Linked DNA regions of Danio rerio. The protein of the gene in region 6 interacts with the protein of the main gene of each other region in a biochemical or structural test. Links are inferred from orthologs where the notes say so. Each region holds a gene or a part of one and is shown on either strand. Other genes may lie near its edges.

Region 1 (4,154 bases), on a different chromosome or scaffold from region 6:
GGTAAGTGGTGTTATAAAGTACGCTGCGCTCCATTTGAAGTAGTACCTGACTTGTGTCCTCGCGTCCTCTGGAGTTAATTCTTCCAAGTCGAAACTTGGCAAGTCGAAACTTCCAAGGACACAAGTCCGAACTTTGCGTACTTGGTATTGAGAAACAGTTAATGGTTGCGTCCAAAACCGTATACTTCCATACTATATAGTACGCTAAGATCAGTATGCGAGCAGAGTAGTATGTACGAATTCGTAGAATTTAAAACTCAGTATACGAGAAGTACTCAGATGACCTACTACTTCCGGCGAGATTCTGGAGTGTGCATCCCATGCATGCTGCGCTATCCCATGATGCCCCGCAAGATAATTCATGAATGGGAGTGAAGTGACGCAACTGACGCAGGTAGGTCACGTGACCATGACAAAATGGCGGATGTATTACGTCCGAATTCCGTTCATACTTTTCACATTCATACTGTATAGAACGTACTTTTCTAACGGCTGAGTAGTACGTTTAAAAACAAATGCAGTACCTACTGAGTAGTGGGCGGTTTCAGATGCATCCAATGTCTATTTGTCAATATTTTTGTCGCTAGGCAACCACTGAATCAGCTGAGTTTTGCGCACGAGTGTTGCTGTTGATATTGTTATAATTGTAATTTTTAATATTGTGACATTCAAGATCTGTGAGTCATTCAGCACTGGCTAACTCGAAATAACAACCACACGTCTCTCCTCCATCTTCAAATGTCTCCATAGTCATCATGACAACACAAACACTGCAGGCACCTCGATGGAAATCCCGCCTCTGCTTTCATTTGATTGGACAATGAAACAGACGCGACTGACGTAACGCGCTTTTCCCGCTCAGAGTTGACCTGCGAGCACACAGAGCGCAACAGCAAAAACTTGAGGAGCAGCAGGCGGTTAAAGGACGAGGTGCGCAGGTTCATCATCAGCATGCAAAACGCTCGCGGCCGTTAGTAAATCATTCAACGCAAAAAACGCAATTGGTGTGGTCGGCCCCTAACACTGAAAGCAAGATGCATTAGTGAGCGCTTGTTCTGCATGGCCAGCAGGAAGCCTGTGCTCTTACCTGTGTGTGCTGCGTGTGCCGGGGCTGTGTTTGGGGCTTTGGCCCAGGGGTTAGTCTCGCGGACGGGCAACGGTGGTGGCGGCAGCACAGGTGAGTTAGCTGCAGTGGTTACAGTGACGCTAGGCGGAGGGAAGGCAGGAACTGCGCCATTAACTACAGCAGCAGACAGGACCAGAAGATTAGAGACAAAGCCGGACACATACACACACGCAGGCGTTCACACACACACACACACACACACACTAGGGGTTGCAAAGACTAGCTGATTAGCTCTGCCACTACTCTACAGGGATGTAGTAATGAACCACACGCTGGTTTAAAATTGATAAACAGCCAACAGCAGACTAGTGAAGGAGTAAGCATTGATGTAAGCTGTAATATACACACACACACTGACCTGGAGCGGCAGGTGATTGTGGTGAGGAGGCTGGTTTGGGCATGGGTGCAGAGGAGAAGGGGTCTTCAGGAGGCCCGCTGAAGGTGGACGTGATCTGAGTGCACAGAGAGCTGATGCTGTCCACCTCACCCTCCACCTCCGGCACTGACACACACACACACAAACACACACACACACACACACACACACACACACACACACACACACACACACACACACATTTATATCATCTAATGAAAACTACAGCATCGTCACACAGACAGAAGGATGTCCCTTTTCCAGGCTGTTATTTTAATAGTAGTTGGTGCTCTAGGCTAGTTTTAAGAGTAGATGGCGCTTTAGGCTTGTTTTAATAGTAGATAGCGCTCTAGGCTAGTTTAACAGCAGACAACACTCTAGGCTAGTTTAACAGCAGACAACGCTCTAGGCTAGTTTAACAGCAGACAGCGCTCTAGGCTAGTTTAACAGCAGACGGCGCTCTAGGCTAGTTTAACAGCAGACGGCGCTCTAGGCTAGTTTTAAGAGTAGATGGCGCTCTAGGCTAGTTTTAAGAGTAGATGGCGCTCTAGGCTAGTTTAACAGCAGATGGCGCTCTAGGCTAGTTTTACAGCAGACAACACTCTAGGCTAGTTTTAAGAGTAGATGGCGCTCTAGGCTAGTTTAACAGCAGACGGCGCTCTAGGCTAGTTTAACAGCAGACGGCGCTCTAGGCTAGTTTAACAGCAGATGGCGCTCTAAGCTAGTTTAACAGCAGATGGCGCTCTAAGCTAGTTTAACAGCAGATGGTGCTCTAAGCTAGTTTAACAGCAGATGGCGCTCTAAGCTAGTTTAACAGCAGATGGCGCTCTAAGCTAGTTTAACAGCAGATGGCGCTCTAGGCTAGTTTTTAATTGTAGATGGCGCTCTAGGCTAGTTTTAAGAGTAGATGGCGCTCTAGGCTAGTTTTAAGAGTAGATGGCGCTCTAGGCTAGTTTTTAATAGTAGATGGCGCTCTAGGCTAGTTTAACAGCAGACGGCGCTCCAGGCTAGTTTTTAACAGTAGATGGCGCTCTAGGCTAGTTTAACAGCAGACAGTGCTCTAGGCTAGATTTTAATAGTAGACAGTGCTCTAGGCTAGATTTTAATAGTAGACAGTGCTCTAGGCTAGATTTTAATAGTAGATGGCGCTTTAGGCGAGTTATTAACAGCAGACAGTGCTCTAGGCTAGTTTAACAGCAGACGACGCTTTAGGATAGTTTACCAGCAGATGGTGCTCTAGGCTAGTTTAACAGCAGATGGCGCTCTAGGCTAGTTTTTAACAGTAGATGATGTTTGCCCCATGGAACATTAATCCGCATCGGTTTCTGTTTTCCCGTTTGAATTGACTTGTATGCAATTTAAAAGTGTAACCTAATTCCGTGTTTGGTGTGAACAAGTTGTTTTTTTTAAATATGATGAAAATGTAGCTGCTGATGGGGCATTACCAGTGTTTTTGATGGGGAAGTCAGACTTGCGCTGCATGGTGGAGGGCAGCTCGTTCATGCGCAGCGACATCTGCCGCTTAAAGGGCGATGTCTTTTGGCTGAGCGCCGGGAAGCCCCTGAAGGAGCCTTGGCGAGCGAGAGCCTCCACAGGAGCGTGCCGGCGCGGGATGACATGAGGATTTCCGTCCTGCAGGCCCAGCGGAGCCATGGGCAGAGGAGGAGATGAGGAGCCATTGGGGCCCGCCAGAGTCACCACCACTGGGTTACAGGAGCCGCCGGAAGAGCTGCTTATCACTAAATCTGAGTCTGAGAGAGAGAGAGGTTATTGTTTTTATAATCATATTAGTCATTTTCCTATTTCTGTATGTATCAAATTTTTTTTTTGATAATGTATCTATGATATACACTCGCCGGCCACTTTATTAGGTACAGCTCTTCAACTGCTCGTTAACGCAAATTTCCAATCAGCCAATCACATGGCAGCAACTCAATGCATTTAGGCATGTAGTCAAGATGGTCAAGATAATCTGCTGCAGTTCAAAGCGAACATCAGAATGGGGAAGAAAGAGGATTTAAGTGACTTTGAACGTGGCATGGTTGTTGATTTCAGAAACTGCTGATCTACTGGGATTTTCACGCACAACCATCTCTAGGGTTTACAGAGAATGGTCCAACAAAGAGGAAATATCCAGTGAGCGGCAGTTCTGTGGGCGCAAATGACTTGTTGATGAGGCCAGAGGTCAGAGGAGAATGGCCAGACTGGTTCCAGCTGATAGAAAGGCAACAGTAACTCAAATAAGCACTCGTTACAACCGAGCTCTGCAGAAGAGCATCTCTGAACACACAACACGTCCAACCTTGAGGCGGATGGGCTACAGCAGCAGAAGAGCACACCGGGTGCTGCTCCTGTCAGCTAAGAACAGGAAACTGAGGCTACAATTCACACAGACTCACCAAAACTGGACAATAGAAGATTGGAGAAACGTTGCTGCTCTGATGAGTCTCCATTTCTGCTGACACATTCGGATGCTCGGCTCACAATTTGGCCTCAGCAACATGAAAGCATGGATCATCCTGCCTTGTATCAGCGGTTCAGGCTGGTGGTGGTGGTGTAATGGTGTGGGGGAGATTTTCTTTGGGTCCATTAGTACCAATTGAGCATCAACGCCACAGCCTACCTGAGTATTTCTGCTGACCATGTCCATCC
Region 2 (4,783 bases), on a different chromosome or scaffold from region 6:
AATGTGTTTTGTTCTATAAAGATCTGATAAAGGCACAGTGGTTAACATTGTCACCTCACAGCAAGAAGGTCGCTGATTCGAGTCCCGGCTGGGCCAGTTGGCATTTCTGCATGGAGTTTGCATGTTCTCCCCAAGTTCATGTGGGTTTCCTCGGGGTGCTCCGGTTACCCCCACTGACATGCGCCATAGGGGAATTGAATAAGCTAAATTGGCCTTAGTTTATGAGTGTGTGAATTTGATGGTGTTATGGGTGTTACCCAGTACTGGGTTGTGGCTGGAAGGCCATCCGCTGTGTAAAACATATGCCGGAATAGTTGGCGGTTCATTTGGCTGTGGCGACTGCTGATAAATAAGTGACAAAGCCAAAGTAAAATTAACAAATGAATGATCTTTAAATACTATTGATTTTTAGTACTTTGTTGATGATGAATAAAAATTAATTATACATGTTTCCACAAACCTTAAATCCAGTAATAAAATAACATTTTTGTTGTAGTTTTAATTAGAGTAAAAACAAAGTCTCATCTTTCAAATGATTTTACTATTTTTGTCTTTTTTTTTTTTTGCCAAATATGTGAGAACATGCAAACTCAACACAGAAATGCCAACTGACTTTCTTTTTTGAGCTTTAAGGGGGCTTTTTTAAAGAGTTTACCCAGAAATTAGTTAAAGAGTTATAGTCTTGACAGTAATTAGTCGCTTTCAATTTGATAAAGTGTCAACTAAAAATAGTACCATTCAGAGTGAAATAAAATGTTATAAAACATCTATATCCACCAATTATTCTTATTCCTCTGAAGTTAAAACATTGGAATGGTATTGTCTAAATAAAATATATAAACACATACAGTTAAAGTCAGAATTTAGATTTTTTTTTCTTTTTTTAAATTTTTCTGAAATTATGTTTAACAGAGCAAGTAGATTTTAACAGTATGTCTGATAATATTTTTTCTTCTGGTAAAAATCTTATTTGTTTTATTTAGACTAGAATAAAAGCAGTTTTTAGTTTTTTAAAAACCATTTTAAGGTCATAATTACTGGCCCTTTTAAGCTATTTTTTTTTTTTGATAGTCTACAGAACAAACCATCGTTATACAATAACTTGCCTAATTAACCTATCCTGCCTAGTTAACCTAATTAACCTAGTTAAGCCTTTAAATGTCACTTTAATCTGAATACTAGTTTCTTGAAAAATATCTAGTAAAACATTATTTACGGTCATCATTATACTGTCATGTTATTAAAGATAAGTTATTAAAACTATCGTGTTTAGAAATGTTGAAAAAAACTCTGATAAACAGAAATTGGGGGAAAATATACATAAGGGGGCTAGTAATTCTGACATGGCATATCTGTAATTTTGAACGATTGTCATTGTATGCTCTGAATGACAACATGTTTATTTTACATTTAAGAAATTTCAGTAAAAATCACTGAAACAATCAGTAGCTAGCAGGAAAAAAAAACGGAAACTGAGAAATACGAATTCCCATATGGTATTTAAACAAGAAAAGCAATGAAGATATGAAAGACGACCCCTTTTTCTCCGGATTAACTTGGATGGATTTTTACCTCCGAATTGCACTTTAATCATCATGACATCGATTTGGTTATAATGTAGTAGTCACTCAGTTTAGTTATTCCTCCAATCTGTTCTTCAGGGGAAAGGGGAAAGTCGTGCGTTTTATTTTTCAAACTGACAATTTTACAATTGAAGTGAACTATGCCTTTAAATCGGCCTAATGCGGTCAAGTTTAAAGGCTTTAAACCCCTGTTGTTGGTGTTGTAAGTCTGCAATCTAATTGGGTGACGAGTATCCACTAATAGCGCCCTTACTACTGAAGACGCCTACTGATTGGTGGATTCTGTGCGGAGGCGGGACTTAGAATGACTGCCTGAAAGGCAACATTGCCTGAGTCGCCATTGAGAGCGAGCGCATATTTGATATTGTGGAAATTATCTCCTGGAAGGCTAACCAGTGTGTTTACTATTAAGACGAAGAGAAAGGGACAGCATTACATAAAGAGGCTTTAAATCAAAAAGACGTGTTTCACAGGTTTAGACTGTGTGAATTTATACAAACATCGTTTCATATCCGCGTATGACACTTTTTCCAGGCTTCTTTGTGTCGACAATGGTTTGTTTTTCTCCGTCAGGATCTCTCATGGTGATCGGATCGTTGTAAATGAATGATAGAGGGTTTTGTCGTCCTGTTTAAAGGGACAGAAGTCTGGTTGGAGTGATTAAGGGCGGAAGGGATAGGAAGGATTTCAACATTTAGACAACAAGGAGTTTGGAAAGGAGATGGGGAATTGTCTGAAATCTCCCACTTCGGATGATATCTCCTTGCTCCACGAATCCCAGTCAGACAGGGCCAGTTTCGGTGACGCCAACGATCCAGATCAGGAACCGCCACCTCCGTATCAGGTAAGCTTATAAAAACCATTAGAATACACAAAGAAACTTTGCTTTTGACTAATATAACGTGCCTTGTGTCCACCCTCCTGCTTCAATCATAACATGAACACTCGCAATTCATAATATCAAGCAAATAGACGTAAATATATCACCAACAGCAAGCTCCCGCAGGAGCTCCATCTGTTTAATTTCGCCCTAGAGTGTGTGCCATACTAAATCCTCTTTGTTCGACGTAAACTTGGCCTGCAGTTCACGTCAGACCATCCAGACAGATGGACAGTCTGTTATTTCATCTTTACTGCCGCCTCCGTGGCGTGTTGATTCACCAGCAGCAGCTTTATTGCGATAAAGGTAACCATTCTGGTTGTGACGATTCTTGTTTGCAGTTGTGACGTCATGTCGATGTTATTCTCCTTGCTCGAGTGTTACACAAACCTTTTAAAATATTCTGTTTTCTTCTCTTCACAGACTGTAAGGGCAAACTATATGTATTTAATTTAAATATTACTAATACTGATGTTGTACACATACACAATGTTACTACCTCACTATATATATATTTTTGCAAACTTCCGGGAAGAGAGCTTAAAAATGCTTATAATATGACAATGGGCTGCTCTACATTGTCCTTTAGTCAGAAGTGTTGGGAAGCCTTGCACTCGGGGATTTCCCCATTTTACGGACATGTGGAATCAGTTGAGGTCTAAGTCATGAGATCATGATATTTTAAAGTGATGTCATGCTTTACAAAACATAGTTCAAATGGAAGAACTGGGTTGGCCAGGGTCTTTTTGTTGGATGAAACAAACCATGTCGAAGCAGATAAACTTGTGTAGCACCGTAAGTGAACGTTTTATGTCCAGTCACTGTGTTTTGTAAGAAGCAACATGACTCAGAAGATGTCTGATCTGAAATGTTTGCAACTGTGGTGGCTGTTACATCCTCTTGTTGTGTTGACCTTATCTGTTTTACAAGAACTCTCCAACAAACTGATTGAGGTAAAATTGGTTTAATATTTAGACATTCAGACTTTCGCATTAATAATATAATTTCTGAAAATTAGTCTTTGCAAATCCTAAATAGTGAAATTATATTAGCAGCCAATGACTATTGAAGTACAACATTGTTCAGAGTCAAATAAGTAGTGATAATGTTGTTTAAAGTCATACTTGCGTGTGATTTCAGACCCAATGTTCAAAGTACCATAGTAAACATTATAAGAAGTGTGTCACAAGTAAGTTGTCACTGAAATAATGTGCAAATACAAAACCAACTTTACATTTATAACAAATAATAGTGAGCCGTTGACCGAAGCACAGATAATCTTGTATGCATCTTGAAAGCACACACAGTAATTTCCTCACAACTGATGTGACATAATATAATCTTATTAAGCAAAAGGAACATTCTCTTCAGTCTTAGTTTCAGTTTTTTTCAGCTGAAGGTGGGACGTTAAGTGCTGGACTACTTTCATTTATCAGTTGTGCTAACATTGTTGTCCAATTCATACATTCAAAACATGATTCAAAAATACACATATCCAATTTGTAAGTTTGAAACACGGTTCAGGCGAAGCAGTGGCGCAGAAGGGAGTGCTGTCGCCTCACAGCAAGAAGGTTGCTGGGTCGCTGGTTTGAGCCTCGGCTCCGTTTCTGTGTGGAGTTTGCATGTTCTCCCTGCGTTCGCGTGGGTTTCCTCCGGGTGCTCCGGTTTCCCCCACAGTCCAAAGACATGCGGTACAGGTGAATTGGGTAGTCTAAATTGTCCGTAGTGTATGAGTGTGTGTGTGTGAATGTGTGTGTGGATGTTTCCCAGAGATGGGTTGTGGCTGGAAGGGTATCCGAGGCGTAAAAACTTGCTGGATAAGTTGGCGATTCATTCTGCTGTGCGACCCCAGATTAATAAAGGGACTAAGCCGACAAGAAAGAAATGAAACACGGTTTAAAAATACACAATATATGAATTCCAAATATGATTTAAAAATACACTAATCCAACTCATACATTTGCAACATGATGTAAAAATACACAAATCCAATTCGTAAGTTAGAAACTTAGTTTAAGAATACACAATTCATACATTCGAAACATGATTCAAAAACACATGTCCAATTTGTAAGTTTGAAACACGGTTCAAAAATACACAATATATGAATTCCAAATACGATTTAAAAACACACAAATCCAATTTGTAAATTCAAAACATGATTTAAAAATACACTAATCCAATTCATACATTTGAAACACGATTAAAAAATACACAAATCCAATTCGTAAATTCAAAAGACAATTAAAAAATACACAAATCCAATTTGTAAAAAATACACAAATCTATATAGAAAATTTGAAACAAGATTAAAAAATAC
Region 3 (4,154 bases), on a different chromosome or scaffold from region 6:
GTTGCAGCTGAACCTAATCTTGCACTTACTCTTGGTAACATTTAAATGCCTTCTTGTATTTGAATATAAATTGGCAATCACAAAGTACTTACACATTTCAATTTATTTCGATATGAAAGCAGATATCCAATGTGTGACTCCTGTTCTGTACATTTTTTTTAACTGCTGGGAAACCTTCTAGAAGATATTTAAATAGACAGAAATCTTTAGTCAAGGATGAGACACATTTTGAAGTCTGATTCAAATTACATGCAGTGTTTTTACATGCATAGAAAGCATATTAAAATGTTAGCTTTAATATTAATAATAATCTTTTAATAAATGTTGCAATAATGCCCCAAAGGGTGGCACGGTGGCTCTGTGGTTAGCACTGTCACCTCACAGCAAGAAGGTCACTGGTTCGGGTCCCGGCTGGGCCAGTTGGCATTTCTGTGTGCAGTTTGTATGTTCTCTCTGTGTTGGTGTGGGTTTCTTCCGGGTGCTCCGAATTCCTTTATAGTCCAAAGACATGCGTGATAGGTGAATTTAATAAGCTAAATTGGCCATGGTGTATAAGAGTGTGTGTCAATGAGAATGTATGGGTGTTTCCCAGTACTGGGTTGGGGCGACATGCTCTGCATAAAACATATGCTGGAGTACTTGGCAGTTCAATCCCCTGTGATGACCTCTGAAATAGACTAAGCTGAAGGAAAATGAATGAATAATGCATATATTAGGTTAAGAATAAAAGCTTATCAACTACATTTTGTGGTATTTTAAATTATTAAAAACGTCATCCTAATACATGAGTTGGTAAAAGAAAACTGGCAAAGATTTACAATTTTTTTTTTATATAGAGGCAACAAATGATTCCTGTTTTAAATGTTATAGACAAGATGTTTTTGTTTCTGAACATTTGTTACATTGAAAGACGTGATGAATGGAGAAAAAGGAAAGAATATTAATTGTACTCATTTTTTACTCTTGAGTCTCTTCAGTCCCACCTCAATTTCAGATTATTGTTCATTGATGACAATTCTGAGTGCATTAACAAGGCAAAGAAGATCATTCAGAATTTAATATCAACTCGCAGCAAATAAATATATCATAAATTAAAATGAGTTTTGTCATCTTTTTCAGGTGCGGTTTATTACTAAGATCTGGCATCCCAATATAAGTTCTGTTACCGGGGCGATATGTTTGGACATTTTAAAAGACCAGTGGTGAGTGCTTCATTATCATGACTCATCATTTAATTTAATGGTTCAACTAAAAATGAAAACTGATTCAAAGTTAACTCCAAATTAAGTAGTTCCTAACTTTAATGGGTTTCTGTTTTCTGTTGAACACAAAATACAATATCATGAAAATGTTGAAAACCTGTTGACATCCATAGTTGCAAAAACAAATACTAGGGATGTCAGTGGTTACTGGTTTCCATTATTCTTCCAAATATCTTGAATTGTGTTCAACAGAAAAAGGAATGTCCATCAGCTTTTAAACAAGTGGAGGCTGAGTGAATGATAGCAGCATTTTCATTTTGGGTGAACGAACCCTTCAATAATTTTGACACTGCTCTTTCTTTCTCTCCTTCCTGTTCCCTTTTCAAATGATTGTGTCTTCATATCCTGTGCACAGGGCTGCTGCTATGACTCTGCGAACAGTTCTGCTCTCACTACAGGCTCTGTTAGCTGCAGCAGAGCCCGATGATCCACAGGACGCTGTGGTAGCCAATCAGGTACAGTCAAATATGCACTGTCAGTGGCTGCGTTCGAAATCACATACTACTCGAGTAGGTTATTCATCTGAATTTACCTCATGATAGTTAGAAAGGTACGTTTTAAATAGTACAATGCGTGAGTATTATGAATGATTAGAATCATAACTAAAACCTTAATATGTGAAATAAAAAAACATTATCTTTTAACTTTTATTGAATGTGTAAAATGCAAATCTAATTAGATTCACTTTATTTGGTAAACAAAGCAAGTCTCTCGTATATCTACTAAAAGACTGAAAATATGCACTGTATAAAAATCAAGTGAATATTTTCATATTAGTCAATTTTACTGTTATTGATTAAAAACTGAATATAGATTTACAAACATTTACACAAGTAAATAAACAATTAATGATGGGCTAAAAGTCTGCGGAAATAAACAGAATTAATGATGGGCTAAAAACCTGCGGAATTTTGCGCGCACAGATTTCGTGTGGGCCTACACATGACCTACCTGCGTCAGTTGATTTGCTTTGTCCATTCATTAATTTCTCTTACGTGTGGCATCATGGGATAGCGTTGCATCTATTTGATGTGCACTACAGCACTAAGCAATAAGTACTTTTCTTGGGAAGAAGTTTGTTTTGTTTCTAGTCCAAATATCTACATTGCACACACTGAGGAAGGCATTGTGCCGAAACGTTGAATCAAACGTAGAATGTAAAAATAAAAACAGTACGAAGCAATTACTTGATAAGTGCGAATCATTTCCTTTTTGAATAATAGCATTGACAAGATTGATGCACCAAAGAAGTTTCTTTTAAAAATGAGCATGTAGGCCAAACTTCATTAGTCCAAATATCTAAAAATTTCGAAATCACAAAGCATTTTCTAGACAAGCAAAGCATATTGTATTGTCCTGTTTTCCCTTTTGACATAAGATTATTTTGCTTAGCCCACTGGCAGATTATTTAACTTTTTTTTTTACCTTAATTTTGACATATTTCTTAAAACAAGACAGTATGTTTTGCTTGTTTAGAAAATGCTTCTTGATTTTTAAAACTTTTTGGATATTTCGACTGGAAACAAAACAAAGCCGGAGTAGGTAGTAGGTCCTCTGGGTAGGCATGGGCCAGTATAAGATTCTGACGGTATAATAACCTTGGATAAAAATATTAAGGTTTTCATGCTGTTGTGTTTATTATGTTCTTTATATTTCTTCTACTTATAGTTTCACATTTGAAAAGGCATCTTTGGATAATTTTCTTATCTTTGGATATAAATAAGGGTCCATAGCATGCTTGGATGTTGGCGTATAAATGATTTGGTTTTCAGATGTGGGCTGACCAGTAGCTTTTGATGTGGATGTTCCTTTTCTGCTGGAGATACTGTTCCCCTAAAATACTAAATAAAATGGCAGTAAAAGCACTTAACTTGTATATAACGTAAGAATGGTATAACAGAAAATTTAAGCGAATTTAAAAATTTTTTAAATTATTTTTTTTTTAATCTTGAAAACGGTTATTGTCCCATGGCTACCTCCGTGTATTTCTTCACGTATTACTTATTTAGACACACTGCTATATCACAGGGAAGTATGCGATTTCGGATGCAGCCCGTGTCTCTGTCTAAATGAGAATATTGCATGACAATGTGGCTTTGTAAACCTTTTAACAACGTCACTGTTGTCTTTTTTTTTTTTGCAGTATAAGCAGAATCCAGAAATGTTCAAACAAACTGCTCGTCTCTGGTCTCACGTTTACGCTGGTGCTCCTGTGTCCAGTCCAGAGTACACACGCAAAATAGACAAACTTTGTGCAATGGGCTTTGACAAAGTAAGTACTGAATAGTGGCAAAATAAAAAGATGCACTGACTAAAGCAGGGTTTGGCAACTTTGTGACATGTGGTATTATTGGCTTTGTGACATGTGGCACTATTGGCACATTACTTGTTGGAAATTCAAAATGTCCAAAGCTATTGAGGTTCTAATCCTGTCCTGTGTTGTGTTTAGCATGCTGGCTTTTGACTGGCAACTGCTAGTAAAAAAGATTTACTTGTTGGAGATTTCTATCTATCGGTTGTTGATTAATTAAATGGTGGCAGAGCTATATATATATATATATATATATATAATGTATACTAAAATCATTTCATATGTTTAAAACTGGGAAATGAGTAGCACCTGCGGGTTTGATAGATTTGCTATTTATTTCTTACCATTTAACACTTGTATTCTTTTAATACCATAAATTAATTTTTGTCATTGGCCCATGTAAAAACCATTCTTTAAAACAAGATTAATATCATGCACTTAAAAACTGTTTGTTTAATTAACTAATTAATAATTTTTTTTAATAGAGTACTAGTCCATTTACCTTTTTCCCCCAATTGAGACTTTTTTTTGATTGTTCTGATTCAGAATCTCAGTGGAAGTGTGATGATGATTCTGTTGTG
Region 4 (4,591 bases), on a different chromosome or scaffold from region 6:
CACACTTTTCTCTGATCGCAATATTGACATTTTTAGCAGAGTATAATATATGATCTGATGTTTATTTTAAGCTGAAACATAACATAGACTTCTCCTACATCAAATAGGATAAAATAGGAGCTCTTTAAAATAAAGTGTGACCCATTGTTTTATTCTACATAAACGACTATAAATAACCTTTTTTTATTTATGTAAGAGTGAAGGCTTGAGTTTCCTGCTACATTTTTTCCCAGGTACAGTTTGACATGATGCACAGAGACATCTGCTGAAACTGATGTATAATGAGCCATTCTAGATTCTGGAGTCCATGGAAAATACTTTTGCCCTGACATAGGTAGAAGCTTGCAGAGCATTTCAACTGACTGCCTTAAACCACCTGGATCAGCTAAATGAAATGGCCGAAGTGGATACCTGACCTCTGTCAATCCAGCTGCAAGTTTGCTGTCTGAGCTGTTCCTTATGACAGACTGCTGTGGATGAGCACTACAAGGGCAGAATGACAATTTTAATATTATGCAAATAGGTAATATTAACTGCTGATAGATAACATAAACTTGAAATACATAAGATGTCATAGCAGTGTTTCACAAAACTGGTCCCTATTTTTTCTAATAAGCAACTAAAAAGTTCTGTCTGGTCTTTTAACAGGTAGTCATGCAAAATTTGCAGAGATGGGAGTACTTTGTGAGACACATTTTTAACCACTGTATTATATAATTGATTAAATTGTACTGTTTTATAATGTTACAAATTGTACATGTTGTACATGTTGTCTTAATGTAACACTGGTGGTTACTGTACATTCCTGTTTAAGAATGATAAGTAATTTTAATCTTTTATGAAGGTTGATGTTGCTGATTTCTTGGAATCTTTGTGTGCAGATGTTGGCTGCAATGCCTATGCCTATTACAGCAAGGCAACAGGTTTATGACACTGGGATATCTGGACACACTTTACAAAAAGTTTCCATTAGTTAATTTTAGTTCACGTGTTTACAAACATGAATGAACAAAACATGTACAGCATTTATTAATAATCAGCATTTTCATAATTTACAAATGCATTATTAAAATCCAAAGCTGTGCTTATTACCATTAGTTAATGCACTGTGATCTACCTTTATTTAAAGTAACTAATGTTAACAAAGATAAATACTGTGATAAGCATATTGTTTATGATAGTAAACACATAAACTAACTTAAACTATTGAAACCCTATTATAAAGTGTTACCAGATAGCTTTAGGACCATCCAACCACCTGATCCAGAAAGTGTTGGCTGACAATCTAAATATATTAAATCACATCCCCACTATAGAGAGAGAGCATTTTTTACGACAAAATTTCAGTGTTCCCTAGAGTCCCCCTGTCTGCCATTTTTCTTCTTCTTAATATTATTATTAGTATTGATTATTATATATATATATATATATATATATATATATATATATATATATATATATATATACGGTACGGTTTCTCCCCTGACCTGTCTTGAATGTACCTGTTGGCGTAACGCCTTTTTGAATTAACCTTGAAGGTTCCCCTGGAGGAGGGGCTCAGCTGTAATCCGTGGGGAGGCGGAACCTGACGCGTGATGTCACAGCCTCGTCATCATCAGCTGCTATAATCAGCCTACTCGTGTGGTGATTCCCAGTGTACGAGGGTTTATTTCTGAACGTCTCTCATCCCCGTATCTCTGAACATATTTACATCTCATCCAGGGGTTAGAAGAATAGCACTAGTCCAATCGGAACCATGTCTGTAGCGGGACTGAAGAAACAATTCCACAAAGCCACTCAGGTAAGATGCAACGGTACATGAATTCAGCATTCTGTTCTGTTGACCATTACGAGCCTGAAAATGGGTTTGCTGCAGTGCTACAGCAGACAGAACAGCTTGTGTCCTGAATCGTAATGCGGCTCTTCACTCTGAACAGCGTGTGCTTTATTCAACGCACCGTAATATAAACAAATGAAGGCACTATATGTTGCCATCGGGCTAGTCGCTGTCAAAGCATTTCGTTCAGATGTTAGGATGAAGGATGTTCTGTGTTTTTTTTCCGTGCTCTTATCAGCACCGTTGAAATGAAAACGCGTGAACATCAATATTTTAAGATGCGTAGATAAGGGCTGTTACATAATAGCTCATATCCTTAAATTGACCTCGATGCCCTCTAAAGCAGTCGTGATGCTGTGACACTTTAAATCCACGATGCCAAAGCCACCACATATAGGCTTTAGGTCCAATTTTATGGAATTGGAATTTTTGCCATTTTATATATATATATATATATATATATATATATATATATATATATATATATATATATATATATATATATATATATATTTTATTTTATTTTTATTTTTTTTCATATTAGCCCCCTAAATCTGGTTGAATTTTAATTTCAACTATTATCATTATTTTCTGTGTATGTGTAAATTTCTGTATGTTTGTGTCAGTGGACATAAAACTAGATTTAATCTCTGGTTACCTTGTGAGGCTGCATTACTCTTGGTTCTCCATCTAGTGTCCTTGTTTAAAGATTCACCTTGCATTAATAGAGGAATGAGAGATGCATGTCTCACTGTAATTTTGTGTAGACATAATTTGGGATTTAAATTGTGCCATTTTGAAGTATACAATCTCAAACGCGGAAAAACATGACTCCAGCATCCCTTTACATTGTTCTTAACATGAAATTCTTTGACTTGCATAGCTGCCTGACATTAAACAACATAATCTGTCTCATTCTGACCAATCGTCAGGCTGTGACATCATCAGTGCACGCTGCAGAGTGGAGAGGGTGGCATGACTCAGAGCTGCTCTGTAGAACAGATGGTTCCTCAAACACACTGCTCCATCTCACAGCTTGCTGTGTACTTTATACACAGCCTTCTTGCAGTCGTGACAAAATATAGTGCCTGCTCTGTGAAATGCAGAGGCAGGTTTAACTAGTTTTACCTCCATTATTTATTCTTGGAAATTTAATTGCATAGTAAATACTTGCTTGTATTTGAACCATAGGTTTGCCCATTACTAACCAAACAAAATAAAATGTAATAAAAATAAAAACAAAAACTATAGCATTCAGATTATATTCAAATTGTGTACCTGAATAGGCCATGAGAGACAACAAGCATTTGTTTATAAGGTATTTTGTTCATGAGCACTTAGTTTTAAAATGACAAACAAAAAAACAAAGCATTTCCAGCACTCTAACACTTTAGTTCACACCATCTGGCTTTTTAGCCAATTGTGATTTGTTGCACAAAACTGAGGTGAGATTTCATGAAAACTGTCTTTGACTATTCTGTTTGGCTGTATGTAATTATGCAGAGATTTTGTAAGTGTCTTATGAAAGTGATTTTTATTTGAGTATACACAAAGACCACACACACACACACACATTCTGTTTTCATCAACTATGAATTTATTTTGAGCCTATGTACAGAAAATGTCATTTCTGTTTTATTACATGTAATAGATGAAAATTATGCAATCAGAGAACATCTTTCTTGATTTTTTTTACCATTGGGTGTTTTGAAATGGTTGATCACAGTGTCACAAATTCGTGTTGTTGTTTTTTTCATTTGTGAGCAGTAGTGTACTTGGACATGTAGAGATTTCTTTAGCTTCTATCTCTAGGTTTCTTTGATGTAAGGCACTATTTATGCATCACAGCGCCTGTCCCAAACATGGCTGATGTTTTTTTCTGCTTTCCCCTATTACAAATTCTGGACGTTGCTTACTGCAGTGCACACATTTTTCTGTTGAAGTTTTTGTCAGCTGTACCACATACTTGGCAGGCCAGTGTTTTTAAAATGACCCTAAACAGTGGGACATTTTACCACCTAAAGAATGAGATGTTTTTCCCTTACAAATATTAAAATATATTGTTTTATTGTTGTGTGTTTTAGCACATCGCTTCCTGCACTTGAACAGTATGTTCAAGATTATCAGTAAAATGCTTATCAAAAATGCTAAGTAAAATGCTAAGTTATCAGTAAAATGCTAAGTTTTTAAATGCTAATCAAATTGTGAGCTGTCTATTGTCCATCTTCACAGAAATGAAGACTATTTCAAATTGTAGAGAGCAGATTATACACCCTCCTAAAATAGTACTTTCAGGATGGAATGCCTTTTGTAGTGTTAAATAGGTGAGCCTGTTGTAAGGTGAGTACATAGTCACTGAAAAAAACATGCACTGGCAAGCTAGTTAATAGTACAGTGCCTAGTGCAGGTAACTGGTGATCAGCCCCTATCTGGCCTCAGGAGGAGATGGCTCCGGTTCAGAAAATGCAGCAGTGCTCAAAATGGGTAAAACATTTGTTCCAGCTGATTTACCTCAGATGGCAGATTTAGTTCCAGATGGCAGAGGGGCAAAAGCCTCTGAGAGAGAAAGGCCCTGCACAGTTTGGTAGAGAATAGGGAAGTAGACATTTGTTAGTTTTAAAGTGCTTTCACCCATATACTAACTTATATTATTTGGCTATAAATATAGTAATTATAACAAACGATGTGTTAACGGTTAACTAACTCTATCTATTGTTGCAACACCAAAACATAGAATATTCAAATTTTATAAGC
Region 5 (4,154 bases), on a different chromosome or scaffold from region 6:
AAAGATCAACCTTGAACTAATAATGGTCTGAATCAGTCTGGTTCACTCTGGTTCATTCAACTCATTTCTTACCTTGTCTAGTTATAAATGACCCAAGAACTGTTAAGTGAGACCTAGGTTAGTAAATGCTGACTGTGCATATTTAGAATAGTTCGACAAACTATTTGTTAATTTGTGCTTTCAATTTCTCAGAAGAAATAGATTGTTAAATGTCCCCAAAACAACTTTGATGAAAACCACCCACACTAAACATCCTGTTCATCTTACGAAGGGAGGGCCCACAATTCCCTATTGTACCAGATTGGACTTCTGCAGATCCCACATGTGATTTCTCCACAGTGGTGTGTGTGTGGCACAGAGAATGGCCATTTCCATAAGCCTGTAATTTTTTACCTCTAAGTGATGGCATTTCCCGATTCAGCCTTTATTTCTGGGAAGTAACATTTGCTCTTGACATCACAGTGTCGTCAGTTTCCAGCCCCCATGTCTCTTCAGGGATCCCAACTCACTTGTTTGTTTTTCCTCTTCCTGTCTTTTTTTCATTCGTGTTTCTTTCTATTTTTTCCCTCTGCCTCTTTCTATGTCTGTCTGTGCCTCGCTGATTCTCATTTTACATTGCTCTTTTTTCTCTCTCTTTTAGATCTACAGCCAGTGACATACTGTGAACCAGCATTTTGGTGCTCTATTTCCTACTACGAATTGAACCAGCGAGTAGGAGAAACTTTCCATGCCTCACAGCCCTCTTTAACAGTAGATGGCTTCACAGACCCGTCCAACTCAGAGCGTTTTTGTCTCGGACTGCTGTCCAATGTGAACCGAAACGCTGCTGTGGAGCTCACACGCAGACACATTGGTACACACACATTTGTCTCAAATACCTATTTATAACACAAACTGATTTAAAATGGCTTTTACTTATAGTAATGTGTTTGATTTCCTTACTTATGTGACAATCTTTTGTTTTCGCAGGCCGGGGTGTGCGTTTGTATTACATTGGAGGTGAAGTGTTTGCAGAGTGTCTAAGTGACAGCGCCATTTTTGTTCAGAGTCCCAACTGCAATCAGCGTTACGGCTGGCACCCCGCTACTGTTTGCAAGATTCCACCTGGTGAGATAAAACTAAAGACTCTCAATGAACAGCTCTCAAGATAAAACAAGGGACCCTCTGTGAATAGCTATCATCAACAGAGAATCTACTAAGTTCATGAATAGTTAAATTGAAAAAGGGAACCGAGTCATTAATGATGGTTCCTTGACTTTGGCCGGGTTTTCATCCTAACGTGAAGTGAAAGAAGAAAAAAAATAACAGATGTAAATTAGGTCAGTTTCCATCAAGCTTGTAGAGCGGCCAACATAGTGACCAAAAGTAAACAAGGCACGCATTATGAGGGTGTAATGTTTGCTACGCCCGATGGGTTTTAAGATTTGCATCATTCGTTTCTCATGTGATACTTCAGAATGTGCATTAACAAAATGGAGATAGAAACCCAGCTATTGTGCCAGACAGTGTTGGTATAATTAGTTAGAAAGTACAAATAATAGTAAGGGATTACTTTTCATTTTCAGGTAATTTATTTAGTTACTTTTACGGGTGTGATGAAATGCTAACTCCATGAGATGAGACACGAAATTGGGTTTACGAGACGAGACAAGATTCTTATACAATTTTTTGGAATTCTCAATGATGAAATATATGAATGACAAATAGTCTTTTATTCAACTGAAAAAAAAATCACAACATGCAAAACTATTTAGTTGCTTATTAAAATAAAACTTGTAATGAATGTTATTTTACTTATATTTTAATGAGTTATGGCATAAAGGACATGCAAACCCTGCAAAATATTTTGCTATAAAGTACTGACTGGACAAACTTTGAGCTAGCAGTTTTAATGAAATTAGATACCGCACGCCGAATTAAATGTGTGTCTCCAAGAGTTTACTTTGTTCAAAGCACTTAATTTACAGTTCTAATCCAATCCTGCCTCCAATTTTTAGTGCCAAATTCACCCACACGCTCAACTATAACATCGCAACTAACAAGACAACTTTTCACCTCAAAGAGAAATCTCATTGCGATTTAATCTCATGAGATCTTGTAGCCCGAGATCTCGTCACACCCCTAGTTACTTACAATATACTTTCCTTTAATAGTGAACATAAAATTAGCTGTTCTGTATAAATCACGTTAAAAGTAATTTTGTATTTGTTATACAAATATAGTTTACAGAATAATTAAATTTTTCAACTAAAGAAGGTTACATTTATTAAGACAGTTGCACATAATAACAAATTGAGTGAGAAATTAGTTCATGAAAATATAGGGTATGAATAAAGAGAAGTAGAGTAATTGTGTGCTTTTGCTTGATAACTCGATTTTTCAACTAAAGATTGTTCGATTCAGTGTTGTCACGATACTGGAATTCAGTACCGATCAAAACTTCCATTTCCTACTAACATTTAAGCGATGTGGAGCTAAAACAGCACTGATTTGCCATTGTTTTCATGTGTTCAACAGAAATGACTGTGGTTGGTCATGAAGGTCATTAGTTCACCGAACTCACCGATGTTTATTAAGTGTAAACTGGAGTGTTTCAAAGTGACGTCAATAAGCTGGTATGTCTATAAGCTGACATACGAGCAGTACACAGTTGAATCGCGGCTTTAAAATGGTCCAGTGCTCCTGTATCTGTGTTTACACTCAGTAAACAGCTGTGAGTTTGGTGAACTGATGACCTTCATGACCAATCACATTCATTTCTGTTGAGCATGTGAACACAATGGCAAATCAGTGGTGTTTAAGAACATGTTCAAAAGCGCTCAAATGTTTGCGGGAAACGTACGTTTTTAAAATTGATTAGTATCAAATTCCAGTATTGTGACAACACTAGTTTAATTTGTCCAACAATTTTAATAAAAATCTTTGAATTAAAAAAAAAAATTGTTGTTTTATTTTTGTATTGATCCATTTAATGTTAAATATTTTAAATGTTAATATCTAAAAAAAAAGGTCCTGTTTGGCTCAGATTAAAAAGTTTAATTTCAATTGTCCATTAATGCGGTAAGACTTATATGAATATTTAGTAGTACCGAGTCAAGTAATTAAATTACCTTTCAGACAAAGTGACTGCAAAAGTAATTTAAATATAATTTTACTGATGTGATTAATTAACTACTTTTTTGAAGCAACTAACTCAACACTAACACCAAATCAGTTTAGCCGTTTTAGTTTAGTTTGTTATTGATATATGAACTTTGCTTTGTGTCCATCCAGGCTGTAATCTGAAGATCTTTAATAATCAGGAGTTTGCAGCCCTGTTGGCCCAGTCTGTGAATCAGGGCTTTGAGGCTGTATACCAGCTCACACGCATGTGCACCATTCGCATGAGCTTTGTGAAGGGCTGGGGAGCCGAGTACAGGTATGATTTCTGAAATTACTTCCTTCTTATCTATCATCTTGCCTACCACTCCTGGAATGTGGCCTTGATTTGACTCACTCAAAGACTTTTACCTCACTTGTGAAGTGGTGTTACCCAAAACCACAGAAGCCTCTTTTGCTTCCTGTTAAATTCTTTGATTTCTGATTTGTCGTAATCAGTTTTTGTAGAAAGTAGCTGCTGAATAATAAATGGAATAATTGTAGTAATGATTGTTTTTGCATTTAGATTGCTTTAATTTGATTTCAATGGTAGAACTTGATTAGGTCTTAATATTAGCAGTGCAACAAATTAATTTTGGAAATTACTGATAATTCATAGGCTAGTGTTGATAACTGATGATGGTTGATAAACAGATATTCTTAGAATGATTATAGTACTGAAGATATGTCATGGCATTACGTGTTACATGTATTTAAAAAAAATATATATATATATATATTCACTGAATATTTATTTCCCAAAATAATTATCTAAACAATCTAAACTAATCAAGGTGCATTTGATGATGTGAGATGTAGAAATAAAGTGAAAACTAACATCTGTCAACAACAAAAAAATACTTTTTATGTGGAAAAATACTTCATATAATATGTACATTTACAGAACATGTTAATAGTTTTCTCTACAAATTATTCAGGAACCTTTCCCATATTGCTCTCCAAAAGCGCTTTAAATTCTTAAAATTAACCACATGGATTTAGCTAGATCAATATTA
Region 6 (4,814 bases):
TGAAAGCATGGATCCATCCTGCCTTGTATCAGAGGTTTAGGCTGCTGGTAGTGGTAATGGTGTGGGGGAGATTTTCTTGGCACACTTTGTGCTCATTAGTACCAATTAAGCATCGTGTGAACACCACAGCCTACCTGAGTATTGTTGCTGACCATGTCCATCCCTTTATGAGCACAGTGTTTCCATCTTCTGATGGCTACTTCCAGCAGGATAACACACCATGTCATAAAGCGTGAATCATCTCAGACTGGTTTCTTGAATCTGACAATGAGTTCACTGCACTCAAATGGCCTCCACAGTCACCAGATCTCAATCTAATAGAGCACCTTTGGGATGTGGTGGAACGGGAGATTGGCATCATGAATGTGCAGCCGACAAATCTGCAGCAACTGTGTGATGCTATCATGTCAATATGGAGCAAAATTACTGAGGAATATTTCCAGCACCTTGTTGAATTTCTGCCATGAAGGATTGAGGCAGTTCTGAAGGCAAAAGTGGGTCCAACCAGGCACTAATAAGGTGTACCTAATAGTGACCGATGATTGTATATTCATTCATTCATTCATTTTTTTTTCGGCTTAGACCAATTATTATTCTGGGGTCGCCACAGCGGAATGAACCGCCAACTTATCCAGCACATGTTTTATGCAGCGGATGGGTGATTGTATGTTTTTAAAAATAATCTTTGAAACGCAGAGCCAGCACCTAAGCTTTTCACTCATCATAGTACACATGCTGCTGATGATGTGACAATAAAAGTTGTTTGATTTGATTTGTCATTATCTTTATAGCTGCAATGCTTGATATGAACAGCCCTTAACTCTGTAAGAAACATCTTCACCAAAAAAACAACAACTGTTGTGGGAAAAAAATGGAATAAATAATTCTCATTCTTTGCACTACAATGAAAGTTTAATAGGTGCTGCTGTTGTCAAACTCCAATAAGAGCATAAAAGCATGAAAACATACAGCAGCCTGCAGAGTGCAGACTATTCAAGTCTTATACTTAAAAACTTGATATGTAAACAATAAACAAATATGAGATTTTTTTTGTCAGTAATTATCTGTTAAAAGGTTTAAACATTGTCTTAATGCCTGGTTAATTTCTTCAGCTCCACACTGACAATTCTGAGGGGTTTATTGATCAACCAATGAACTATTATTCATGGTAACAGGTTTGAGTTTCATCTAATGCATCATTAACTTTTTCAAGTTTAATTCTGCCTGCCAGTGAATCAGGGTGGCGGCTAATATCAGCAATCTGTCAGAGAGGTTAGTTAACCACATAAAGAATTATAACGATTTTTAAGCACTTCATCAATTGTCAGGAAATGATTTTCACAAATCTGCAACCGTTGAATAACACTTGTTTATTGGGGTTTTGAATATATTAAGACTGAACGCTACAGGCAAATCCTTGATTTTTATATACTGATCAATTTTTGGACTGCTTCAGATTACTAAAGAGACAACATACTTTTAAGTGTTCACTTTATATATATATATATATATATATATATATATATATATATATATATATATATATATATATATATATATATATATATATATATTTATATTTGTGTCTGTAGTAGGCATGGGACGATAACTGTTTTCAAAATATACTGCGGTTTGGAAAAGTCAAGGTTTTAAAACCGCCAACATTTTCTGTAATACTGTTCATAAGGTATGTGTAGGATTTTTACTAACATTTTTTTAGGACAACACTATCTCCAGCAAAAAAAAAAATGTCCAAGGATGTCGTTTTAAATTGTAAAGAAATCTGTGTTTTTAAAACAGCAGAAGTCAATGATTTCTTTTAATTATTTAGCCTGACTTGTTTACTGCTTCAAAATATTATAAATCTTTCAGAAAATAAAATATATCGTTTTCAAAGGGGAAACAAGTTTTAGTTTTTTACCCAGACATTTAAAAATAATATATTTTAGGGCAGTAATCAAATACCGTGATACTGTGATACTTTTATCCAAGGTTATTCTACCGTCAAAATCTTAAAGTACATTTCTTTAGGGGATGTGAGCTTTTCATGCACTAAGTCAGAAACATTCCAGTTTCTTAAATAGGCATTTAAACGTGCATTAAAATGTCCAATGTGCTACAATACATATCTTTAAACATTCATTCATTCATTTATTTTCCTATCGGCTTAGTCTCTTTATTAATCTGGGGCCGCCACAGCGGAATAAACTTATCCAGCACATGTTTTATGCAGCGGATGGCGTTCCAGCTGCAACCTATTACTGGAAAACACACACACACACTCATTAACACACATAGATAATGGACAAATCAGCCTACACAATTCACCTATAGTGCATGTCTTTGGACTTGTGGGGAAAACCGGAGCACTTGGAGGAAACTCAGAGCAATCGTGCTGCCCTATCTTTAAACATTGTACTAAAAATTCATCTTTTTAAATTTCAATATTTTATTTAAACCAATAAATAAAAGATTACTGTGTGGAAATGTACAGAAATTAGTGCATGATTAAATAAATAACTCATATTCAAACTGCTTTTTAGAAATGTCTTTCTGTAACCATGTTGACCTGCTGTATCTTACTTTTTTATAATTTGGAAAGTATAAAGACATTAAAAAGCGCCATGAAATGACATCAGATGGTAGCCTATATCATGAACAGACATTAATTGTGCACACAATTGCATGGAACTATAATGGCATAACAGTTACTATGTAAATGTCGTGATATATACATTCAGTGCCTTGGATAAAGACGACAGGTCAGTTTTATGTACATACCATCGTTGTGTTATAACACACATACAGTTACAGTACTTTTGAGAGCAGTGACGTCACATAACGTTACTGACTGTCGGTGTCGCAGCTACAAAATTCAGCATAACAACAGACGGATGTTTACACGTAAGCTACATGCATATATCAAATGGAAAATGAAAACTGGCCGTTGTAAATCGTTTCAGACTATAGTTAAGGTACAGTAACGAGCTGTCAAAACATCACCTGCTAGAGTCCAGTAGTCAGTCACCGGTCAAACAAGCTAACGGTAACGCGTTACCAAAACACGGCTGGTTTAAAGCCATACTGTCCTCTATAGGTGTGTGTCACTAATATCTTACCGTGTTATGATCACAGGGAATGCTTCTAGATGTCAGTTTTAACGGAATCTGAGATCAGCTTTTCGCCGTTTTAATAAACTTTGCTCCATCTCAACCGGGTGACCAAAGGTCCGCCACCAGCACAGGCTCCATGTCGGAGTGACGTATCTGCGCGACCCCGTCACGTGACGACGCGCGCGTCTATCTGGATTATTCAATGCTTCTTTATACAAAGGTGTGCACTGCGCGGTATTTTACTAATATAAAGAGCGAAAGACTAGATATGTGTGTCTATACGTCAAGGTGAGCCAGTAATAGATTTCTTAAGATTATTTATAGGCTTGTTCTTTCACGAGATGGCGCTGTTTGACAGGGAAAGTAGTACAATCATCCATGGTGTTCACTGAAAGATCTTGATAGACATGGCATAGTTGTGGTTTCTATTTGAATGTTCATGTCTCAAATAGTGTTTAATTCATGTAAGTGTTTACAGTGTATTTAACTTAATGAAAATATGGATTCATTACTGTATATAAAATCAACAAAGGCAAAACTGTAAAAAAACCAAAAAGGTTGTGCACCATAAAATATTTAGTCATTTTTTGAGTTGACTTTATTCTATTATCTCAAAAGGTGTGATAGTTTAATTGACTTTTATCATTTTTACATTAAAAGTATTTTTTAAATTATTAAAAAATAAATTAAATAAACCAGGTTGTTTTTTCTGAACATGTTGGTCCTTATTTTATAGTATAATTTAATATGGTTGAATTGTTTAATTTATTCGTATGGTTAATTAATTTATTTTTAATTAAGAAGTTAAGCTTTGTGCAACATAAAGGGCACATATTTATGTCTGGCTGACATATTTTGGCTTAAACTATAACAGGAGCAAAGAATTTATTTGGTTTGAAACCGAATGTTTTATGAATGTCAAATGTCAAACTAACTTTACCGCGGTATCTTAACAGATTTATTTATTTATGCAAGTCCTTGTAAAAACATTAAACACTTAGGAACTCAGCTGTCACTGCATTTTTGCATATTTATTTGTGCATGGTTTTAGTACCATGACATTATTTCTAAATAATATTAATATACTGTGTTAAGGTATTTATTTATTTATTTATTTATTTATTTATCTGTGCAAGTGCTTATTCATTTATTCATCTATTTCTTTTCTTTTCGGCTTAGTCCCTTTATTAATCCAGGGTTGCCACAGTGGAATGAATTGCTAACTTTTCCAGCATATGTTTTACGCAGTGAATGCCCTTCCAGCTGCAACCGGTCACTGGGAAACATCCATACACACTCATTTACACAGATACACTACGGTCAATTTAGCCTACCCAATTCACATGTACAGCATGTCTTTTGACTGCTTTGGAGCACCTGGAGAAAACCCACGCGAATGCGGGGAGAACATGCAAACTCCACACAAAAATGCCAGCTGACCCAGCCGAGGCTCGAACCTACTGCACCACTGCGTCGCCAATAATAATAATATGGTATGCTAAGTTAAATTTATTTATTTATTTATTTTAATTTGGTTAGTTAGACGGTTAATCGGTCACATCTATAGTCGTAAATAGTATAAACTATAGTCATGTGGTCATAAATAGCATATATCATCTTAATATAGAGTATACAGGGTGGAAATGTAGTACATAGAAAACATAAAACTTGTGAGAAAAAGTGTCGATAGTTGCAATAAAT
Region 7 (4,154 bases), on a different chromosome or scaffold from region 6:
CACACATCTTATGACCCGTGATCAGAGAGATAATCATATGATCAATAATTCCTGGCTAGAAATTGCAACAGCAGTGGGAAAGGAGAAAGTTTTTGTTAAAAGGTTTGGAAAAACCTGAAGGATAAGTTTTTGAAAACCAAGAGAGGCCATGACAAAATGTACACAATTACAGAATGTTTTTCCACCAGTCATAGGTTTTTACACGCATGTATTTAGTTTAATTTTGTATTAAAAACTATTTAATAGTTACAAAACTATGATGAAGTCATAAAATTATTTTTGATAACTGGAAAGGAATAGATATACTGATGGCCTGCTTCTCTGGGCTTTACTGGTGATAATGGTCAGGAATGTTGGACCATCATTTCCTTTTTAGCATAAGTAGAGGACAGAAACTAGCCAGACAGTAATGTGTGAATTGTGTATTTTTGTGTAACATCTGTATTTTTTAGTCAGTGTGCTTTTTTTTTGCTTTTATTTTTGCGATAATAAAACATTTATTTGTAGAGCGACTCAAGTTCTGTTGTCATTAATATTTTAATAAATTGTAATAGGTATAACTGTTCGAGATATAAACAAAAGCAAGTGATGACCAATAATAATTTGCTAGAAATAACAACAGCAGTGGGAAAGGAGGAAAGTTTATGCTAAAAAAATTGGAAAAACCTGAGGGATAAGTTTGTTTATGCCGAAAGAAATCATGGCAAAATTGAAGACTCAGGTATACAATTACAGAATATGTTTTTCCATCAGTCATAGCTTTTACACTAACGTATGTTTATGGATCGGGCTAAATCCAAAAAAAAATAAATCTGTATTTTTTTAGTAAGTGTACTTTTTATTTTTTGCTTTTATTCTTGCCATAATAAAGATATATTTGTAGAGGAACTCATGTTCTCTTGTGAAGCTTTAAAAAGTAAAACTGTCCGAGTTATGGACAAAAGCAAGTGATGCATTAAAGTTTGATTAAAAAAGACTTAAATGGTTATAAAAATGCTTATAATCATTAAAATACTTTATAAAAACAATACAAAATAATTAGTTTAAAAATATTGAACGACATTATGATATGACGTACTTCCAGAAACTTCTCTGTTTATTCGTCTGATTTTAGGGTGGGTTTCTTTTGACCGCCCCTGTCGTTTTAAAGATTATCACAACGGCGAACGCGGCGAGTATAAAAGCCTCATCCGTTTTGCGAGGTGCGCACGCAGTCAGCAAAGGTGCGCGATGCGGCGCCAGGCACAAGTATAATTCCAGCTTTAGAGCCACTTGAGTGCAAATAAATGGTAAACAAATTTCTTTTTTTGCGTGAACTATCCCTTTAAGAATCCGGCTGCAGAAGTTCAGCATCTTCTAGAAGTGGGTCATACCAGCAGCGGTTCTGGGCAGGTCTGGGTCGAGCGGAGCATGATCCACTGGAGCAGTGTATGGAGGAGGAGGCATGTAGGCTGCTGGTCCATCAAACACAGGAGGACTGGGGTAAAACCCACCTAAAGCACACAAAATAACATGGTAAGGAGGAGACTGTGAGGTTGTAATAATGCTCCCCAAACTCTTTTCACCATCTTTCAGAATGAAACACCAATTTTTCTACATCCAATCAGATCGCAGAAGAAAAAACAAGCCACGCCCACTGTTTGCTCGTTTAATATTCTGTTTTTCTAGGAACTGCGTCACAATTTGAAAGAAAAACGGTCGCAGCTTCCAGTTGATGTGGACTTTAAGTGCATGTTATTACCTGGAGGTGGAGGTCCAGGGTAGGCGTATCCAGGTGGAGGAGGCCCGGCAGGATACATGCCGTTAGCAGGAGGAGGTGGAGGAAAAGCGTACGCACCGTTCGCCATGTAAGGACAGCCGAAGTTTACAGTCACCGGTTGCCCTCTGGATGCTGAGGTAAAGAAAGAGAGGTCATGCACATCCACATCAGTTTGACTGCTTAATGATGAGACTCTTATTTTGAAACTGGTTGAGCACAAACGTACCCTGCTCTGCCACATGTAACATGCGCTGACCAAACTCGATCGCTCCTCCAGCGCTAAAGATCAGCTTGAAGGTTGCAGATCCTTCCCAACCACCTGGAACAATAATGCAAACACACTTGTATTTACAGTATATTTACAGTACATGCTATACTGTAGATCTGTTTACTTCCACACAAGTACATGTGTGCTTCCTTTTCATGTTCAGATTAACTCAAACCAGGACTCTACATTTGATTGAAATCAAAATTCAAGAAGAGTCTTGATCTGATTACTTTTGTCTGTTCACATGGTATACGAAACTGCCTTTTTTTACATTTTTTATTTTTAGTTAATTTATGTTTATTCAGGCGAGGCAGTGGCACAATAGGTAGTGCTGTCGCCTCACAGCAAGAAGGTCACTGGTTCGAACCTCGGCTCAGTTGACATTTCTGTGTGGAGTTTGCATGTTCTCCCTTCTTTCGCGTGGGTTTCCTCCGGGTGCTCCGGTTTCCCCCACAGTCCAAAGACATGCGGTACAGGTGCATTGGGTAGGCCAAGTTGTCCGTAGTGTATGAGTGTGTGTGTGTGGATGTTTCCCAGAGATGAGTTGCAGCTGGAGCGGCATCCGCTGCGCAAAACAAAATTGCTGGATAAGTTGGCGGTTCATTCCTCTGTGGCGACCCCGAATTAATAAAGGGACTAAGCCGACAAGAAAATGAATGAATGAATGAATGTATATTCATTCGTTCATTCATTTATTCAATCATTAATTTTCCTTCAGCTTAGTCCCTTATTTACCAGGGGTTGCTACAGCGGAATGAACCGCCAACTATTCCAGCATATGTTTTACACAGCGGATGCCCTTCCAGCCGCAGCCCAGAGCTGGGAAACACCCATACACTCTCACGTTCATACACTCAGACATTATGGCCAATTTAGTGGCCAATTCACCTATAGCACATGTGCTTGGACTGTGGGGGAAACAGGAGCACCCAGAGGAAACCCACACCAACACGGGGAGAACATGCAAACTACACACAGAAATGCCAACTGACCTAGCCAGAACTCAAACCACTGAGCCTCCGTGCCGCCCATTCACATTTTTAGTAGTTTTTTTATTTTTATTTAATATATATTATAATTTATATATAAATTATTTAATATTCTTTAATGTTTTCAATTTCTATTTAGCTTCATGTAAGCTTTTTTTGCACTTCAACTTTACATTTTTATTTAATCTTATTTATACTTAGTTGATCTTTTAACATTTAAGTTGTCTTTTATACGTACAATTAATAAACATTCATTTATCATTCATTTTCTTGTCGGCTTAGTCCCTTTATTAATCCAGGGTCGCCACAGTGGAATGAACCGCCAACTTATCAAGCACGTGTTTTACACAGCAGCTGCCCTTTCAACGGCAACTCATCTCTGGGAAACATCCATACACTCTCATTCACACTCAAACAGTTCGGACAATTTAGCCTACCCAATTTACCTGCAACGCATGTCTTTGGACTGTGGGGGAAACCAGAGTATGCGGAGGAAACCCACGCGAACACAGAGAGAACATGCAAACTCCACACAGAAACACCAACTGACCCAGCCGAGGCTCGAACCAGCAACCTTCTTGCTGTGAGCGACAGCACTCCCTACTGTGCCACTGCATCACCAATTAGTGAACATATTTTAATAAATGTTTTAGTACACTAAAAAATCTTGCTGATTTAACTTTTTAAGTTGAATCAAATGAACTTTTCTAGTCATCTCAACAACTACTTAACTCATTGTAAACATAAAATCAATTGGTCGAGACAACAAATATTTTTATGCTGCTTTAACTTATTTTTATAAGTTGATCAGGTTTCAAATAATTTTTTAAAGTTATACAAAGTTTAACTTTTAGTCATTTTGATTGATGTATCACTCAACATCTTAACAGAATTTATATATATATTAATTCCTTACATTTGTATAGCACTTTTCTAGACAAACAAAGCGCTTTACACAATAGAGGGGGATCTCCTCATCCACCACCAGTGTGCAGCATCCACCTGGATGACACGACGGCAGCCATATTGCACCAGACCGCACAACACACACCAGCTGCTTTGGTGGAGAGGAGACAGAGAGATGATATGCCAATTATGATATGGGAATGGTTAGGAGGCCATGATGGACAGAGGCCAG

Evidence for each region.
Region 1: the proteins of itcha (region 6) and numb form a complex in vitro, tested with the Homo sapiens proteins (3 studies listed by BioGRID). The link is inferred for Danio rerio from reciprocal best matches to the Homo sapiens genes ITCH and NUMB.
Region 2: the proteins of itcha (region 6) and rnf11b form a complex in vitro, tested with the Homo sapiens proteins (2 studies listed by BioGRID and IntAct). The link is inferred for Danio rerio from reciprocal best matches to the Homo sapiens genes ITCH and RNF11.
Region 3: the proteins of itcha (region 6) and ube2kb form a complex in vitro, tested with the Homo sapiens proteins (2 studies listed by BioGRID). The link is inferred for Danio rerio from reciprocal best matches to the Homo sapiens genes ITCH and UBE2K.
Region 4: the proteins of itcha (region 6) and sh3gl2a form a complex in vitro, tested with the Homo sapiens proteins (2 studies listed by BioGRID, with this or other methods). The link is inferred for Danio rerio from reciprocal best matches to the Homo sapiens genes ITCH and SH3GL2.
Region 5: the proteins of itcha (region 6) and smad3a form a complex in vitro, tested with the Homo sapiens proteins (2 studies listed by BioGRID and IntAct, with this or other methods). The link is inferred for Danio rerio from reciprocal best matches to the Homo sapiens genes ITCH and SMAD3.
Region 7: the proteins of itcha (region 6) and wbp2 form a complex in vitro, tested with the Homo sapiens proteins (2 studies listed by BioGRID). The link is inferred for Danio rerio from reciprocal best matches to the Homo sapiens genes ITCH and WBP2.

What each region holds. Positions count from the first base shown.
Region 1 is NC_133192.1:57,926,535-57,930,688, forward strand, and holds part of numb (protein numb homolog), read right to left. Parts: intron 3,254-4,154; coding exon 2,948-3,253; intron 1,629-2,947; coding exon 1,485-1,628; intron 1,241-1,484; coding exon 1,088-1,240; intron 1-1,087. UniProt on the Homo sapiens protein: Regulates clathrin-mediated receptor endocytosis. Plays a role in the process of neurogenesis.
Region 2 is NC_133183.1:18,241,502-18,246,284, reverse strand, and holds the start of rnf11b (RING finger protein 11b), read left to right. Parts: upstream 1-1,876; 5' UTR 1,877-2,304; coding exon 2,305-2,427; intron 2,428-4,783. UniProt on the Homo sapiens protein: Essential component of a ubiquitin-editing protein complex, comprising also TNFAIP3, ITCH and TAX1BP1, that ensures the transient nature of inflammatory signaling pathways. Promotes the association of TNFAIP3 to RIPK1 after TNF stimulation.
Region 3 is NC_133176.1:24,900,412-24,904,565, forward strand, and holds part of ube2kb (ubiquitin-conjugating enzyme E2Kb (UBC1 homolog, yeast)), read left to right. Parts: intron 1-1,119; coding exon 1,120-1,202; intron 1,203-1,617; coding exon 1,618-1,717; intron 1,718-3,405; coding exon 3,406-3,534; intron 3,535-4,154. UniProt on the Homo sapiens protein: Accepts ubiquitin from the E1 complex and catalyzes its covalent attachment to other proteins. In vitro, in the presence or in the absence of BRCA1-BARD1 E3 ubiquitin-protein ligase complex, catalyzes the synthesis of 'Lys-48'-linked polyubiquitin chains.
Region 4 is NC_133176.1:28,419,509-28,424,099, reverse strand, and holds the start of sh3gl2a (SH3 domain containing GRB2 like 2a, endophilin A1), read left to right. Parts: upstream 1-1,654; 5' UTR 1,655-1,756; coding exon 1,757-1,801; intron 1,802-4,591. UniProt on the Homo sapiens protein: Implicated in synaptic vesicle endocytosis. May recruit other proteins to membranes with high curvature. Required for BDNF-dependent dendrite outgrowth.
Region 5 is NC_133182.1:34,192,235-34,196,388, reverse strand, and holds part of smad3a (mothers against decapentaplegic homolog 3a), read left to right. Parts: intron 1-640; coding exon 641-853; intron 854-969; coding exon 970-1,107; exon of another isoform or gene 1,108-2,426; intron 2,427-2,718; exon of another isoform or gene 2,719-3,273; coding exon 3,274-3,418; intron 3,419-4,154. UniProt on the Homo sapiens protein: Receptor-regulated SMAD (R-SMAD) that is an intracellular signal transducer and transcriptional modulator activated by TGF-beta (transforming growth factor) and activin type 1 receptor kinases.
Region 6 is NC_133181.1:60,243,012-60,247,825, forward strand, and holds the start of itcha (itchy E3 ubiquitin protein ligase a), read right to left. Parts: upstream 3,168-4,814; 5' UTR 3,120-3,167; intron 1-3,119. UniProt on the Homo sapiens protein: Acts as an Acts as an E3 ubiquitin-protein ligase which accepts ubiquitin from an E2 ubiquitin-conjugating enzyme in the form of a thioester and then directly transfers the ubiquitin to targeted substrates.
Region 7 is NC_133187.1:47,462,147-47,466,300, reverse strand, and holds part of wbp2 (WW domain-binding protein 2), read right to left. Parts: intron 2,079-4,154; coding exon 1,986-2,078; intron 1,897-1,985; exon of another isoform or gene 1,892-1,896; coding exon 1,742-1,891; exon of another isoform or gene 1,669-1,741; intron 1,516-1,668; exon of another isoform or gene 1,494-1,515; coding exon 1,374-1,493; exon of another isoform or gene 1-1,373. UniProt on the Homo sapiens protein: Acts as a transcriptional coactivator of estrogen and progesterone receptors (ESR1 and PGR) upon hormone activation. In presence of estrogen, binds to ESR1-responsive promoters. Synergizes with YAP1 to enhance PGR activity.